3 linked regions of the Drosophila melanogaster genome follow. The protein of the gene in region 1 purifies or fractionates together with the protein of each later gene. This does not show direct contact. Each region holds a gene or a part of one and is shown in the gene's direction. Other genes may lie near its edges. The genes, in order: side-IV, beat-IIa and 18w.

Region 1 (4,877 bases):
CTCACACCTCGTGGCTGTCAGTCCAGGTTTTTCGGGATATTTGGGAGTCGGTTTATCTTGGGGGATGCGGCGCGGCGCATTCACGTGCCAGGCTTTTGATCTGTTTAGCATTCCGTGGCACATCGGAAAGTCGTAACTATTGACAAGATCTGGAGCACCACCAAACGGTCAGGTCATTGGAGAGAAATGTCTGGGAGTCGAATGCATTTCATGCGGCACTCGTGTATTTGTTTGCATTAATTTGTATATGTTACTTTAACGATTTAATGCCCAGCACGGCACCGACCCGACGCAGATTCCATAGAAACGGGAGGGGAATCGATTCGAGTCCAGGCCAGGCACGGGCACCCAATGGAGTTCGATCCCCCATTCACCATTCACCATTCCCCAATCCCAGGTGACTGCACTCGGCGGGGATTTTTCTCTGGCTTTTTGGTTTGGTTTTGGCCGGGCGCAAATTGCTCGGGCGCTTCTTTACTACTTCCTTTCCATATCAAATTGTGTGGATATTGCGCATCAATCACTTGATAAAGAACAACAATGCAGCAGCACTCGCATGATGAATAACATCTGCTCTGGTCGAATCTGAATTAAGGCGCAATGTTGTGCCGCAAAAGTGAATAATTCAGGCGAGCAAATATTGTTCGATTTAATTAATTTCCAATTGGCTGTCTAGGGGATTATTATTCATCGCGAAGGCTCATTTCCGACAGGCCTCATTTTCCAGTGCTTGAAAAATATTTTACTTGGCTTTAATTTGCTGTGTACTAAGGTGTAATTTTTCTTAATATGTAGCGGATGCATGCAGGAAGTACAAATTTAAACAAAAATAATCCATTTACCGCTGTTTGCATTCAAACAATAAAACAAAATCCGAATTGGAATTTTCTTTTCTTAACATTTTCGAAGAAAATCTTTTAAAAGATGCTCGTTTAAATAAAGTATTTAGGTTAAAAACACTATTAGGAAAAATCGAAGAATGATTATAATACAATTTGTTTAAGTTTCCTTTGTAAGTGTATTTTAAAATGTTGCTATAAACCAAATTGTAGTAAGCTAATGTACTACATACAAAAAATTAGATGTCCAATTTTATAGACAATAAATAAACAAAGGTTTCTTAATATCTTCATAAGTTTTGCCATCGCTGAATAGCAATTTAAAATGCTTTTCTATCATCTAGGCAACAACTTTCAAGTCAAGCAGGCCTAATACTTGGGCCTAACTTAATGTGGAAATCCCCCAACAACATCCGCGAATATTTGCCAAAACGATTATTCATCTGTTAAGCAGGGAGTATCTGCTGCCGATATGGAACATGGTGTAATCGTGTCTAGCTCTAATTACTTTTACAGCGACAACTTTTATCGCCCATCGCAGCGAATATCTCCGGATTGAGGGGCAATCTTTACGCATAAATAAGCAGAAAGTGGGTGGTGGGTTCTTTTGTTGGCGACCCGTAAGAAGAGGAAATTTGTCAATACCACTTTTAGTAGTGGCTTTTAAAGCAGGAGGGCTAAAGGCATACGCATACGATATAGGTCGCTGTTAAGATCCGAATATCGTATGCCAAGTTTCGTGTGGCTCGCTCTTTCGGGCATTTCTCTTCGGCTGGCTATTCGAATTTCGAGTTTCGAACTCAAATCAAAGCAGACGTCGCGAGGAAAACGCATCGACGAGTGGAACTCCGACGATGGGTATCCAGTAGATACGCGAAGCTATAACGGTACACATGTTGCTGTCGGAAAACGCGAGCGGTCCAAGTGGAAATGTAGCCCAATCCGTTCGCACCAGGGTTTCCATTTAAAGCGCTCCCTCGCACAAATACACACACACACACCGAAACACGGACACACTCGTACACTCACACACTCGCAACGTAACGCACACCAACGCGTATTCGCACCCACACACAAGTGAAGTCGGCTCTGCAAACGCACAAGTGCGGTGTATCTGTGTGAGTAGCCATAGAAGAGGTGTTTGGCATTGTGCTCAGGATACAGGATTTGGTGGCCAAGTGCTTAATAAAACCATCATAAACCCCAAAAACCATCAAAAGTGATAAATGCAAATATACCCCTAATGAATGAATACAAGCAATCGCAAAAGTGTGTGGCCTCAAGGAGCCAAGCCAAGTATAATCCCAACCATTGGCCAAGTGGTAATGCATCGTCGGATTAAATCTTACCGGTTTACAACAGCACTCGAATCTCTAATGGGCCTTGTATTTACCAAAATCTCTTCAATAAAAACGAAATCTTAATTTCTGACTTAAACATGTGCTAAAAGCTATTGAAAAATTAAACTTGTAAAGTTACTCAGTGGCTTACTAACTCCAATGACCCTTTAAAGTTTATCATAATACTTTGAGTGCTGAGTATAAATTTAAAAAACATAAGAAAAAGGTCATGGTTTAAACTTGTAATGCAGTAAAATATTGCCTACCAAATTGGAATTTATTCAATTAACGTAAAGCAAATTTCGTATTGCTGAGTTTTTGAGTAAAATAGTTCGAAGCCTTTATATAATTGCATTCCCCCAAGCCCCCAAGAACTGCTGCAAAAGTATTTAAATTATTTTGTTAAAAACCACGACAACAACGGGCGGCTGAATTCTCTGTCTGAAACCTCAAGGATTAGCCATGGAAAAAGAAATATTTATAAAAGCGGAAAAAATCTTATGAAAATCCCGGCAGACTAAAATAGCAACAAACGTTGCCGCGGCTGACTTTGAAAATTGCTCCACTTCGGTTCCAAGCTCCCTTCCGCTTCCCCCAGTTCCCAACTCCAGTTGCCACCACTTCAGCGGATCCACTCCACTCGAAGGAAGGGCTGGCTGCTCGGTTTGCGGTGCCGTGCCTCGAGTTCGTCGATAATTGGAATTTACGACTGTGGCATACAACAAAAAAAAAAAAACAGAGAGAAGGAATACGGACTACAAGGCTGCAAGGATATGGCCTCGGCACGGGCGTCGTTGTTTGGTGACTCGTTGCCATTTCCCCTGATCCCTGAACCACTCCCCTCCAGACACCTTCCACAATCAGATGTCCCTTTAACCCGGCCCTACGATAGTCGGGCGCCGTGTAAATATTTTTTTGTCATCGCTCCCTGTGCGCGGTTCAGTTCAATTGGCCCTGTCAGTGGCAGGCGCGCTGATTTGTTATGGTAATAGTTGTCAAAACGAGAGCAGATTCGAGAGATCCTCCACGGCACTTGATTACACTTGGCCACAATGACAAACGTGCGGATAGTGCATACATATATATGTATATATATGTATGGATATATAGTAAATGAAGTGTGAGCTTAACGAAATCAAAACTAAATTGCCAAGGGAGGTGCGAAACGTAAATCTTGGCCAATTAAGAGTGCAATTGGTTTTTGTGCGAGTTTCAAGTTCGTTAAGAGGTTCGGGTTTCTTAACCATCTATCTCTTTCGGTTTCATCGCAGATTCATCCGTTCAGACGGCGTGTCTGCGGCTCATTAGAGAAAAAACTAGCTGGCCAACAAAATAAAACAAAGTAACAAATCCAAACCAAACCAAAAGCATAGTCGAAATCGAATCGAAATCAAACAACGCGAAGCAAACTGTAGCAGGGCAGTATAAAAACAACATGGAATATTGAATGAAATCGGACGGGATATATGCACATACATTAGCAGGTGAGTTATCTGGCTGCTTATTTCCCTCAAAATTTATGCTCATGCATATCTGCATAATCGCAAATTAAGCTACATAATTAATAAGCCAGGAGCCACAGCCTCATCGCTGTCACTCGGCGTTGATGTAGCACTTTAGGGAGGCTATCAGCCGATGCCTTGCCTTGCCTTTGCTTCTGGCCATCTTGCTACTCGCATATCGGGTTATACTATATGGGCGGCTAAAGGCTATAGCATATGTGTACGTGCCACTGCTTTTCGAAAAGTATCGATGTCTGTAATCTTAATTAGCAACACCACAGCAACCGGCAACAGAGACAACATCGGCAACCCAGCAAACGGGGCTCACAAACATCTTTTAGCATTTCAAGCATGGCGTATCCGTACACTGCTGCCTTTTCCTCGGCTTTCCTATGCACTGCAAGAAATATAATTGTTTTTTCTTATAAAATTATTAAATGTCAGCGTGTCTAGTACAACAGCAGAAATCCATTAAAACAATTGTGTGCTTAGCCATAATGTGAAACCAGTTATATCGTAATAAAGTCAAAAGTCGAAAAACACATATTTTAAGATTAGAAATGCTTACGAATTTTTCAAAAGAAGATTCCAATGAATACGTTTCATCATATTGAATTAGCATTTCTTTATAAGCATTGTGCTACCGCAATGTTTTCAAAATAAAATATGTTGTACTCATTTTATTTAAATAATATCTTGGTCAGCCTAGGACAATATTTTTTCCAGTGTGGGGCTTTTTTCTGGCTATTTCTCACAAAAATCACATTACATCGAACGCCGAAACCGGTTTCGGTTGATTTCTTGTCATATTTCGTGTAGAAGCTAAAGGTGTTTTGTACAAATGGCCAGCAAACTAAACAAACTAAAGTCGCCGGCCAGCTCACGACCGGCTGCCCATCAAAGAGTTATTTATACTTATTAATGCCGACGATGAGTCCGAGTCCCCCATACACCTCCAATTCCCCGCAGATAGTCGTACGGCATCCCTAGTTTTAGTTTGTTGGAGTATGCAAATATCGTTGATCTGCTTTCAGGCTGAAAAATTCGCACCTCCATGTGCGAACAAAGCGCCCATGGGGCCACCGATTTGAGTGCATAGGAAATCAAGTTTACGACTTCTGCGGATTCTCCGCTGGGAGAAAGGGTAATATATTTGGCGGGGGCTGACGTTTTAATTGCTTCCATTAGAAATCGCT
Region 2 (5,064 bases), 3.9 Mb from region 1:
CTTAGCATTTTATAGGACGTGGAATACATTATATATGCGTACCATTTCTGGAATCTGGGGCTAAATTGGTATCACTTCAATTAAGACCCAGAGCATATGGGGAATGCTATTGCTTTCTCGGACTATGTGGCTAATCAGCGTTATGTGCGTTAAGTCAACAGCCGCATCAACATTATCATCATTATTTGTACAAAATGAAACTGGCCAAAGCCGTAGCCAAATCGAAAGCCAAAGCCAAAGCCGCACACTCACACAATTTGGCAATTTGTGGCGAACAGCGGTCAACAAAAAGCAGTTCGGGCCAAGAACCATCCAGGATGGCAGGCCAGGACCACACTGACATTCGGTCAGTCTGTCAGTCAGTCAGGCAGGCAGCCAGTTGGTTGAATTTGGATGGTGCTCGTTTTGGTGATGGTTCCGTTCCTGGCCACTCGACTACATTGATATTCCACGCTCGATGCGCGCCGCTGTTGCCATTGGTCATTGAGGCTCACTCATCCTTCGTCTCCACTCCTGGCCACTAACGATAGATGTCCTTAAGCCAGCACACACTCGCACATATTGCTATAAAAAAATATTTATCTATATGGCGATATACGGCCGGACTGCACGGCCATGGCTATGGCTATGGCTATCCGGCGATCCGGGTATCTGGGCAACTTTGTCCAAAAAATGTTGCCGGGGCCGAGCTGCGATGCTTTGTTAACTTTTTCAGTTTAATGAAATCAATTCACAAGTCACGTTGTTGCTGGACAATAAATACATCAGAGTCCATTTAATAAAATCATGATGTGCACTTTGGGATGATACCAGCTCGCCGCACATATATCAACTTTGGGTGGCCATATCGTATCGATTCGTATTCGTATTCGTGTATTGCAAATAACTTTCGGCTCTCATTGGAATGCCGCATATGACATCCCCTGTCCCCCGCAGTTCCTGTTCCTCAATTGCTCGATAAGTGCGCGGCAGTGCTAAAACTTAAATCAAAATCCACATTGAGCCACTGCAGCGTTAGCCTCCGACTCCCCGGCAATTTGTTGCGGATTCTGGCTTGGTTTTCGGTGGTTCATTATATTGATCTGTGACTTGGCTGTTTGCTTTACGTCTTTCGCACAATCATTTTTATTTGAGTGCCCCGAGAACGGCGAACAGAGTTTTTGGTGATTGGGTGGTTGGGGGGCATGGAACTGTTTTATGAGTGCATCGTTCTGGGAAAGGTACTTAATATTGGATATGAGAAACTGCCAGCCATTTTCACTTGCATAATTAATAGTAAATTGGGATTAATATTTCGGAAATTCATTAGCTTGGCAAATTCAAAACATTCTCATTATAAAAATAACGAAATTAAGGCGCTAAAATAGTATGGAACAACTATAAGATGATTCTCACGTTTTTTTGTGGTATGTAATTATAATGCATTAACTTTTCGCACTAAAAGTGCATATGCGAATCTTGATTGCCTTTATATTACTATCTATACGGTTATCAAAAACCAGCTTTTGTTCTGTTACCACTATTTTTTACTGTTTTTATACCTAATCTGCTTCTGCGCACTTCAACAGAAACAGCTGTTAATTTCAAAAGTCTGCTCCCACTATTATCCTCAGACGATGAAGGACCTTTCCCTCGCCCAGATAACTGTTCTACGCTCAGCTGATTCCGAGATTCTCTTCACAGACATAATTCTCTTAACCATGACCATAGGTAACTCAGAAAGGCTTGCACCGAACACGGCGAATTCCAGGGACATTCTCTCTTAGCCGATTCAAAATCACGGCCCAGTGTTATACAATCCGTCCGGAAACGAGAGTCGGAGACCACGAATGCCCACGAATGGAGGCGAGGACGTCGTTCGGGTGACGAAATATGCCGACTCCGATTTCTGGGTGCGTGTACACAGCCTCCGTGCATATCTGATGGCCAGCGAGCAAATCAGTCAGATGCGTGGCGAACGTTGAATTTAACGGTCGGTTTGGCAGTGAAAGTGGAAAGTGGAAGCCATCGCCGTGCTCCACGAGCCTGGCCAGCGAATTGTTTGGTGCGGAAAATAAAAACAAAAATCATAAAAAATAAGAAAAAAATACAAAAACACCCAAGGAAATATGAGAGTGAATGTTAGCCCCATAGAGGAAATACATTAAAGTGCAAAGCTCGCTGATATAATCAAGTTCAAACAATTCGAAGGAAAAGTGCTTAGGTTGAAAAGTGTTCAAACATTGCGTCAGTTAAACTCGAAAAATAAAATCAAGTGATACCACCACGCTTGGAGTTGGAGTCTGCGAATTTGCTGGTAAATTATTCAAGCAAGTTTAATTTTTCGGGGGCATAGGAGTCTTAGATCCTGTGCCGTCATAAAGTTATACAAATTATTGCCATCCTGACTGCCATTTGGTTGGCTTTAAACTTTCGGTTCACGCAGCGTTCGCATTAAATTTCTTATTTTGTTGTTTTTCTGCCTTTTATTTCTTTTCCGCTATTCGCGTGGCACATGCGGCGTATACGCAATGTATCTCCTTCTATTTTATTTGTGTGTATGCGTGAGCTTGTGTATTTGTGTGTGTGTGTATGTGTATAACCTACATTTTTGTGGTCCTCGTTGTTTTTCCACTGACAGACTGACAGTCAGACAATACCAAAAACAGGATCTTGAGTTGGGACCCCGTAACCGTGACTTGCCAGCTGAAAGTTAATTTTATGGATTTACGGCTTTTGTTTGCTCCTTCTAAATACTGACTGATCCACAAGTTGGCGATGCTCTATATCTATATATTAATTTTTTGTAATATGACCGAATAGTTTGTCCGAAAACTTCGTCTCCGTTTGGCGCAGTCCAGCGTTTGTCTTCATCAACTTGGGCTAACTTCTACCAAGTGATTGTTGATTTTGTTTGATTTGCTGTTTTTGTTTTGGTTGTAGCTGTTGGCTTTATTTGATTTTAGTACTTTGGCAGAGTCAACATTCGTTAGCAAAAATTTCGCTCACGTTCCATTCGAGCGAGCTCTCGATTTCATGAGTTTTGGATGCTGCTGGTCCGTGTTTGCTTCTCTGTTCCGCCGCTTAGCCATCACTTCTCTATATCGGAGTACATATATATTCCTATTCCTATTTCAATTTCTGTTCTTTTTTTTTTTGTCTCCAAGTGTCTCTGGATGTTTTTCCCCCTAGTTTGTTTTTTGTTTCTACCGTCACATGCACTGTGCACAGTCAGTGCGAAGTAGACAAATAAATACGAGTACATATAAATCGGGCGCATATATGCGCATTGGTCCGATGTACTTGCTGTGGCGAGTGGAGCTTAGCAGGGCTGTCCTTAAGATTATTTATGCGGTGATTAGCCGCTCTGAATTATTGCTGAAATTATCAAGTGTGCTATAAAATTTCACTGCCATTTATTTGCGCAACTTTTGGCGGGGCTCACGTACTACCAACCAAACGCCCGCCCGATCCCATCCCATTCGATCCGATCCGCCCCATCTCCGTTCACCATTTGCTCCACTTCAGTACGCTTCAAGCGGCGTCGTCTCATGTGTATCGTTGGCTCGTATTCTGCATCGGTTTGGGTTTGGGCTTGGGTTGGATTCCTGGTTCAGATTCGGGTGCTCGGGTGCGTGCGAGGGAGTGTAACAAATTGCCAGAGTTTGATTTTTAAGTGTGAAATATCGCACAACGAAATTGGATTAATTACACTGGGGCCGGTTAGATTGCGTTCGCTTTTAAAGCCAAAACCGTTGGCAAAAAATCATTTCAGATACAAAAATGGAACGCAAGGAAAAGGATTTTAAATGGAATAATCAGAAACTCCCCACCATGAATAAAAAATAGATATATTAATCCTATATACTGATGCAACACTGTGTGCTATAATTAAGTTTAATCAAGTTTAAAGAAACAAGCACTTTTAATTAAAACATCTAGAAAGGTGTTTGCAGAAGTACAACTTATTTATGAGTGGGCTCCAGAACTAATCGTTCATCTCTTGTTCAACATCCAGCTGTGGGCCACTGCTGATTATTCACTTATCTATATTGTTTATGAAGATACCATTTCCCCTGGCGCTGGAGATGAGGGTCCAAAAACTAAACATAAACGGCTTGTAGAGCCAAATAAGGATTATCCTGCCGGGCCGAGGGAAATGAGATTTTACAGGAGCCGCTGGCCCCGCCCACTTTCAACAGCGCCCACTTAGCTGGCAACTAATTGCCTAAGCCCCAACCTGAATCCAAATGAGATGATAAAGCTGGATCTGCGGCCAGTCCGAAGTCTGAGCTCTACTGAGATTAATTACATTTAAATAAACAGGAATGGCTGCAAACATGGCCAAGACCGCAACAGTTACATGAACAATTCAACCGAACAGACAACAATAGACAGTCGACAACTCACTCAACTCCACTCGTCCGGATTCAATTGAATCACTTCCATTGGGCTACTTTAAGCTGATTACATGCAGAGTTTGGCTTGAGATATACATTTTACATAGACTAAATCATTAGCTTTTGTTTTTGCAAAACCAGCAAATTTCACCTACCAGGAAAACGTTGTACATTTGATAAGGGTATCGATGGTGAGAAAATCTACAGTGCTGTTTGAAATATTAGTGGTAAAAGAATTAGTAGCAAAGGATTAGAAGTTAAGGGAAAAAGAATCCTTATCTCAATCTGAATTAAAATTTGGCAGTATTTCCAAGTTTGATTAAGCAAAAATAAAAAGATTCGTGCCTATTATAGCTCTTGACCAACTATAACTCGGGTTTTGGACGCAGCTGTACATGTTATATTTTTGGGTGAATGAAAGTCAAAGCCGAGTTTAATGCCGGACTTAGTGATAGCAATAGCCCTTTGCATATGGCAAATGCCCAATGATTTATGACTGGAACGGGTCGACGCAGTCAGCAGACTTTGTCCCGCTCACAATTGGTGGGGAAAAGCGTGAAAAACTGTCGGCCACATGGAAAATCTCGGTGTGAGTGGGGTAATGTGGGCAGAGCGGCAGAGTAAATTCAATTTTACGTTTCACAACTCAGCATGATTTCTATCAAGCCGGGGGAATCCCCTTTTC
Region 3 (7,876 bases), on another chromosome or scaffold:
AGGAGGAACACCAATAGCAACAGCAACTAGAACGGCAGCAGCATTGGGATGGCAAAAGCCGGGCAAAGTTTCCAACTCTACGTTTCTTGTTTTTTTTTTTTTTGTAGCTTTCAGTTTTTTTTTGGGGAGTAGGGCAGCAGCAGCAAAGTTGTTGCTCTTGGCGGAAAGTTTTTTAATGTAATTTTAAGTGGCATAAGTCGACAGCCGAAAAAGCCAGCCAGGTGATAGAGACCTGCGAAATTAGAACAGCGAACCCAAGTGACGCTAAACCATCCGGAGTTCCGTGAAGCCCATTTGCCGCAGTTGCAATCACAAGTTGGCATAATAGTGGTATTCAAACTGTAATATTGCTACTACTGATGGTGCTGCTGTTGCCGTCGCATGCAACACTCATGTGCGATATTTATGGTCCGAGAGGCGAGCATCAGCAGTAGCTGCGAGTAAATAAACCTGAAAATTATGATGAAGCAAATGGCAATGGCAATAAAGAGCACCAACAAGTTTCCATGAGCCACTCAAAGTGCCAAATATGTGTGGCTTTTTTTGTGTAGCAAATAATTTCACCACTTGAAATGGCAGCAAAGTCAAAACTCAAACAACCCATTACGGATGTTTTCAATTCTAAAAAAAAAAAACGGGATTTACAGGAGTTTTTACTTCGCTACAAGAAACCTAAAGACTAGTCTGCCAGTGCAAATGTCACAAATTCGAACTCCCACCAAGAAGCCCAATGAAATGTTTGACAGCAACTGCTGCAACACACACCACCAATATTACTAAAATATATTTAGCATACGACAATAGATTAGGCATTTTACGACAACAAAACACTGCGGAGAACCGCAGAAAACGTGGTCCAAAGCACCAAAAGCACTAGCAGCAACAGTAAAAGCAATTGCAACTGCAACAACAGCAGCAACATCAGCAGCTGTTAAGAGGCAAGCAGCATGCAACATGCTGAAACTGAGGCAACATACTACACCATATACATGCAACACATATCGCGAGTGCAACACGAGGCGACAAAGCGAACTGAGCCGGAGAATTTTCATCGTTAAGGGGGTGGGCAGGGGCGAAATGTTGCCAACTAGCAGCAGCAGCAGCCTGTTGCAGGTTCTATTAACCCTATATAGAATCTAGGCGGTTGGAAATACACAATTTCTAAAGTTATTTATACAAAATAAGAAGACAAAACTTTATTTAAATTCAATTTTGTGATCTTTAAATTGAAATAAGTGTTAATAAGCCGAACCACTGCTATATATTTGTTTATATTTGTAAAAGCATCGATTTAATACAGTGCACTTACAAATGATCAGATAGCTTTTTAATGCCCTCAGTTAATTTTGAAATAATTCCCACTTGAGGCAAGTCGAACTATCAGTGATAGCTGATAACCCATCCTAACCCCACGGAATTATTCCATTTCCTAGTGCTAATTGTGTGGACGGAAATCTGAGAGAGCGCAGCGTAGGGTTAATGATTTCTGTTTCCCCCATTCCATGCCCATGTGTGTGTGCAACATTTCCCCTACTTTCGGGGAGAGAGAGAGAGAGCTCCGCTCTCCCAAGCGTGTGTGTGAGCGACATATGCAGCAGGCAGGAAATGCAGTGCTTGTGTGTGTGCGTGTATCAGCAGCAGAGCAGAGAGCGAAAGCAGCGCAGCGACAGCGTGGCATGTGTGTGTGCTCGCTCGTGAGAGTGCATTGCACATGCACATGCACATGCACGCGTACCGTGTTGTCTGTCTGCCGCGGCGCCGGCTGTGTGTGTGTGAGCTCTGCCAGCTCGGCAGCGCCGTCGTCGGTTTCACATTTTCAACGAGCCAACGGAGTCGAGATGGCCAACTCCAGCAATCAGTTTGAATCGAAACGCGAGGCGGTAAACATGTTTTGAGAAAACGAGCTCTCGCCGAACGAAACGAAGTCGAACACCCTGAGTCGCGCCAAGTGCCAAGTTAAAATTATTATTATAAAATACGCAAGTTACCAACTTATGAGTTGAGTTGAGAGAAATCACAAAGAAACGAAACGAAAGTGAAAAATCGCAAAACGCAAAGCCAGCTCACACCAGGATTACAGAGCACTCGGGCTGCGAAAAAGGCGATCGAAAAATGAAAACCAGAAAGTGATTGAGTTGTGCACCACCAACGCAACCCACAACCTACAGCTAAAAAGCTACAAATTAAACAAATTCATTTAAAGTTAACTAGCCAACTAGCAAATCACCAAAATGCCAGCCACATCTTCCATCATCACCATCATCGCAGTCGCTGCCTGCCTGTTGCTTCTTGTGGCTGATGCGCATGCGCAGCAGCAGTGCAACTGGCAGTACGGCCTCACCACCATGGACATCCGGTGCAGTGTCCGCGCTCTGGAGTCCGGCACCGGAACGCCACTTGACCTCCAGGTGGCGGAGGCGGCCGGCCGCCTGGATCTGCAGTGCAGCCAGGAGCTCCTGCATGCCAGTGAACTGGCACCGGGACTCTTCCGGCAACTGCAGAAGCTCTCGGAGCTGCGAATCGATGCCTGCAAACTGCAGCGAGTGCCTCCAAATGCATTTGAGGGTCTGATGTCGCTCAAGCGACTCACCCTGGAGTCACACAACGCGGTCTGGGGTCCGGGAAAGACCCTGGAGTTGCACGGCCAGTCGTTCCAGGGACTGAAGGAGCTGTCCGAGCTGCACTTGGGCGACAACAATATCCGTCAGTTGCCCGAGGGCGTCTGGTGCTCCATGCCCAGCCTGCAACTGCTCAATCTCACCCAGAACCGGATACGTTCCGCCGAGTTCCTAGGCTTCTCCGAGAAACTCTGTGCCGGCTCAGCCCTGAGCAATGCCAATGGAGCAGTTAGCGGAGGCTCAGAGCTGCAGACATTGGATGTCTCGTTCAACGAGCTGCGTTCTTTGCCGGATGCCTGGGGAGCGTCCCGATTGAGGCGCCTGCAGACCCTCAGCCTGCAACACAACAACATCAGCACCCTGGCTCCCAATGCCCTGGCCGGTCTGAGTTCGCTGCGAGTGCTGAATATCTCGTACAACCACCTCGTTTCCCTGCCCTCAGAAGCCTTTGCCGGCAACAAGGAGTTGAGGGAACTGCATCTGCAGGGCAATGATCTGTACGAATTGCCCAAAGGTCTGTTGCACCGTCTGGAGCAGCTGTTAGTTCTCGATCTGAGTGGCAATCAGCTGACCAGCCACCATGTTGACAACAGCACCTTCGCCGGTCTGATCCGCCTGATTGTGCTGAATCTGTCGAACAATGCCCTCACCCGCATTGGATCCAAAACCTTCAAGGAGCTGTACTTCCTGCAGATTCTGGACATGCGAAACAACTCCATTGGCCACATTGAGGAGGGCGCATTCCTGCCCCTGTACAATCTGCACACCCTCAATCTCGCCGAGAATCGCCTGCACACACTGGACAACCGCATCTTCAACGGATTGTATGTGCTGACGAAACTCACGCTAAACAACAATCTTGTTAGCATTGTGGAGTCGCAAGCCTTCCGCAACTGTTCCGATCTGAAGGAACTGGATCTCAGCTCCAATCAGCTGACTGAAGTGCCCGAGGCTGTGCAAGATTTGAGCATGCTCAAGACTCTCGATCTCGGAGAGAATCAGATCTCGGAATTCAAGAACAACACCTTCCGCAATCTCAATCAGCTGACGGGTCTGCGATTGATCGACAATCGCATCGGCAACATCACCGTAGGCATGTTTCAGGATCTGCCCCGTTTGAGTGTTCTCAACCTGGCCAAGAACCGCATCCAGAGCATCGAGCGTGGAGCCTTCGACAAAAACACCGAGATCGAGGCGATCCGATTGGACAAGAACTTCCTCACCGACATCAATGGAATCTTTGCCACTCTCGCCTCCTTGCTGTGGCTGAATCTCTCCGAGAATCACCTTGTTTGGTTCGATTACGCCTTCATCCCATCGAACTTGAAATGGCTGGATATCCATGGAAACTACATCGAAGCCCTGGGCAACTACTACAAACTGCAAGAGGAGATTCGTGTGACCACGCTGGATGCCTCTCACAACCGCATCACGGAGATTGGCGCCATGTCGGTGCCGAATTCCATCGAGCTGCTGTTCATCAACAACAACATCATTGGACAGATCCAGGCCAACACCTTTGTGGACAAGACGCGTCTGGCACGCGTGGATCTGTATGCCAATGTGCTGTCCAAAATCTCGCTTAATGCTCTACGCGTAGCCCCAGTTTCAGCGGAGAAACCAGTTCCCGAGTTTTACCTGGGCGGCAATCCCTTTGAGTGCGATTGCTCCATGGAGTGGCTGCAGAGGATTAACAATCTGACCACCCGCCAGCATCCTCATGTTGTGGATCTGGGAAACATCGAGTGCCTGATGCCGCACAGCCGCAGTGCTCCACTGCGTCCGCTGGCCAGTCTCTCCGCCTCCGACTTTGTGTGCAAGTATGAGAGCCACTGCCCGCCCACGTGCCACTGCTGCGAGTACGAACAGTGCGAGTGTGAAGTGATCTGCCCTGGAAACTGCAGCTGCTTCCACGACGCCACCTGGGCCACCAACATCGTGGACTGCGGTCGCCAGGATCTGGCCGCCCTGCCCAACCGTATCCCTCAGGATGTGAGCGATCTCTACTTGGATGGCAACAACATGCCCGAGCTGGAGGTTGGCCACCTAACCGGTCGTCGCAATCTGCGGGCTCTCTACCTGAACGCCTCCAATCTGATGACGCTGCAGAACGGAAGTCTGGCCCAGTTGGTCAATCTTCGAGTGCTCCACTTGGAGAACAACAAACTAACCGCCCTGGAAGGCACCGAGTTCCGCTCCCTGGGACTTTTGCGGGAGCTGTATCTGCACAACAACATGCTGACCCACATCTCGAATGCCACCTTTGAGCCACTGGTGTCCCTGGAGGTGCTGCGTCTGGACAACAACCGCCTGAGTTCCCTGCCCCATTTGCAATATCGTCACAGCCTCCAGGGACTGACGCTGGGCAGAAATGCCTGGTCATGCCGCTGCCAGCAGTTGAGGGAATTGGCGCAGTTTGTCTCCGATAACGCCATGGTGGTGCGGGATGCCCACGATATCTACTGCTTGGATGCGGGCATCAAGCGCGAGCTGGAACTGATTGGCAACCTGGCCAACGGACCCGATTGTTCCGACCTTCTGGATGCCAGTGCCAGCAATATCAGCTCCTCGCAGGATTTGGCCGGAGGCTATAGGCTGCCCTTGTTGGCCGCTGTGCTAGTGCTGATCTTCCTGGTCGTGGTGCTCATCATTGTCTTCGTCTTCCGCGAGAGCGTGCGCATGTGGCTCTTCGCCCACTACGGAGTCAGGGTGTGCGAGCCCCGCTTCGAGGATGCCGGCAAACTGTACGACGCCATCATCCTGCACTCGGAGAAGGACTACGAGTTTGTGTGCCGCAACATCGCCGCCGAACTGGAGCATGGTCGACCACCCTTCCGGCTCTGCATTCAGCAGCGAGATCTGCCTCCCCAGGCATCCCACCTTCAGCTGGTGGAGGGAGCAAGGGCGTCGAGGAAGATCATCCTGGTGCTGACCCGCAATCTCTTGGCCACCGAATGGAATCGCATTGAGTTCCGTAATGCTTTCCACGAGTCCCTGAGGGGCTTGGCCCAGAAGCTGGTGATCATCGAGGAGACAAGTGTTTCCGCCGAGGCCGAGGACGTTGCCGAGTTGTCGCCGTACTTGAAATCGGTACCCTCCAACCGACTGCTGACCTGCGACAGATACTTCTGGGAGAAGCTGCGCTACGCCATCCCAATTGAGCTGTCGCCCCGTGGAAACAACTACACATTGGACCATCATGAGCGCTTCAAGCAGCCAGTGTCGCCGGGCATGATCTTCCGCCAGGCGCCACCACCGCCAGCCTACTACTGCACCGAGGAAATGGAGGCGAACTATAGCTCAGCCACCACGGCCACGCCATCACCACGCCCAACGAGACCAGGAGGAGCCGCTAGGATCGTGGACTCTATGCCCATGCCGATGCGTCCGCCCTCAGAGCACATCTACCACAGCATCGAGTCGGAGTACAGTGCGTATGATCAGCATGAGGCGCTGTCGATGATTCCCACGGGCCTAATGCATCAGCACCAGCAGCAGCAGTTGCGTCTGCATCAGCAACAACAACAGCAGCAGCAACAGCGCTTGCTGCAACCGCAGTTCCGGGCGATGCCGCAGCAGGCGATTCCCGCTCCTTCCGCGCCGGTGCACCTGCGCAGCGGCAGTGGTTTGAGCCAGGCCAGCACCAGCACTCAGTCAACGGCCCAGGCCTCCACATCCGCAGCAGCGGCGCAGCAGCAACAGCAACAGCAGCAGCAACAGGCAGCTGGCAGTGAAGCGGCCAATAAGAACGGCCAAGCTTTCCTGGTCTAAAAACTCCCCCTATGGCCATATCCATCTCACTCAGCCTCGCAGGGTTCTTCTCCGCAGGAGCGGCCATCTTGAAGCTGATCGCTCACTGGCGTAAAAGGACTCGGGAAGAGGAAGCAGGAACAGGACGCACACACCAACACACTCACATCCAAAACAAAAAGACTTTTCGTAGGCATTTCTTGAAACACAATATATTTATACGTATTTTTTTTGTCGGAGCATTTCGCCTTTGGATGTTGTGGTTGTTGAAGTTTCGTAGTTGTGTAGCACTGCCAAATAAGGAACACGCACAAGACACGCCCACAACACATTCATATACGAGCATATAGGAATACATTATTCTAATATAATTACCATAAACGTAAAGAAACAATTACTAGAAATGTTGCAGAAACACTTTCAAATTCAATGTGATATATTAATTAACTATAATTAAATCGGCAGACGAGAGTATGCCCCTTACTGTAATGCGTAGACGTATGTAGTAGTTCTAGCCAGGCGTAAAGAACGTAAACCTAAAACTAAACTAAACTAAACTATTGTTAACTACAACTTAAAGTAAACCTAATGAAATATGTACACACATTCGTTCGCATCCAGTTGATCGTGTTTGTCGATTCATTCATCCTAAGCTACACGAAACAATAACTAAATGAATACTTGATAAACTTATATGTATATAGAAAAATCGCAGGAGCAAACCCATTTAGAGCACTTAATGTATTTATGTATCGTACTGTATAGAGATGATGGAGCTAAATTAATTCAATTAAATTTACTTAATGAAAAAATGTATTATTAAATTAATTATTACAATTACATAAAACCAAGCAGAGAAATATATCTGAGAAAATAAAATGCAAAAACATTACAAAATATTGACAAAAATTAAATCACACACGTTTTCTTACTCATCCCGGGTGGAATTCAGGGGGAATTTTTGTTTGAAGCAACACCAAAATGATAAAAATTAATTAAAGCACCTATGGTTTTCGCAGAAGCGAAGCCTGCTGTGTCCCCAAACATGCAACTGACACTATTCCCAGAAGGACTGAAAGAGGAAAATGGTAGTTTATTCATTTCCATTCGGCATTTGATCTGTGCGAAATGCAAAAGGTCACAATGCAAACGTTAACTAAAACCCAAACGCATAACTGAATTGCGAAAACCAACTAAACAAAAGCTATGCGCAAGTTAATTGCTTGTAAATAATTGTACATAAATAAATTAATGGAAAACGCACTCAAACAAACACTTTGCATATGCCACAACCACTCCCACACTCGGACATTCTTTTATGTAAATTATTATTTGCGAAATTATAAAACAAAATTAAAATGCGGTCCAATGCGAAAATTGTATTTTGCACATTTGCTTAACTCGCCATTTGCAATTGCATATTCCCCGTTTTTTGTTTTTTTTTTGCCGCCCCACAGTATTTTCATGCTTTGGCAAACCGCAACTCTATCATCGGCTAATGTCCCCAA

Evidence for each region.
Region 2: the proteins of side-IV (region 1) and beat-IIa purify together in Drosophila melanogaster (affinity purification with western blotting; one large-scale study listed by BioGRID). This does not show direct contact.
Region 3: the proteins of side-IV (region 1) and 18w purify together in Drosophila melanogaster (affinity purification with western blotting; one large-scale study listed by BioGRID). This does not show direct contact.

Annotation. Positions count from the first base shown.
Region 1 is NT_033777.3:13,448,768-13,453,644, forward strand, and holds the start of side-IV (sidestep IV), read left to right. Parts: upstream 1-1,822; 5' UTR 1,823-2,161; intron 2,162-3,450; 5' UTR 3,451-3,663; intron 3,664-4,877.
Region 2 is NT_033777.3:17,362,998-17,368,061, reverse strand, and holds the start of beat-IIa (beaten path IIa), read left to right. Parts: upstream 1-1,942; 5' UTR 1,943-2,296; intron 2,297-5,064.
Region 3 is NT_033778.4:20,109,654-20,117,529, forward strand, and holds 18w (18 wheeler), read left to right. Parts: upstream 1-1,857; 5' UTR 1,858-2,231; coding exon 2,232-6,389; 3' UTR 6,390-7,279; downstream 7,280-7,876.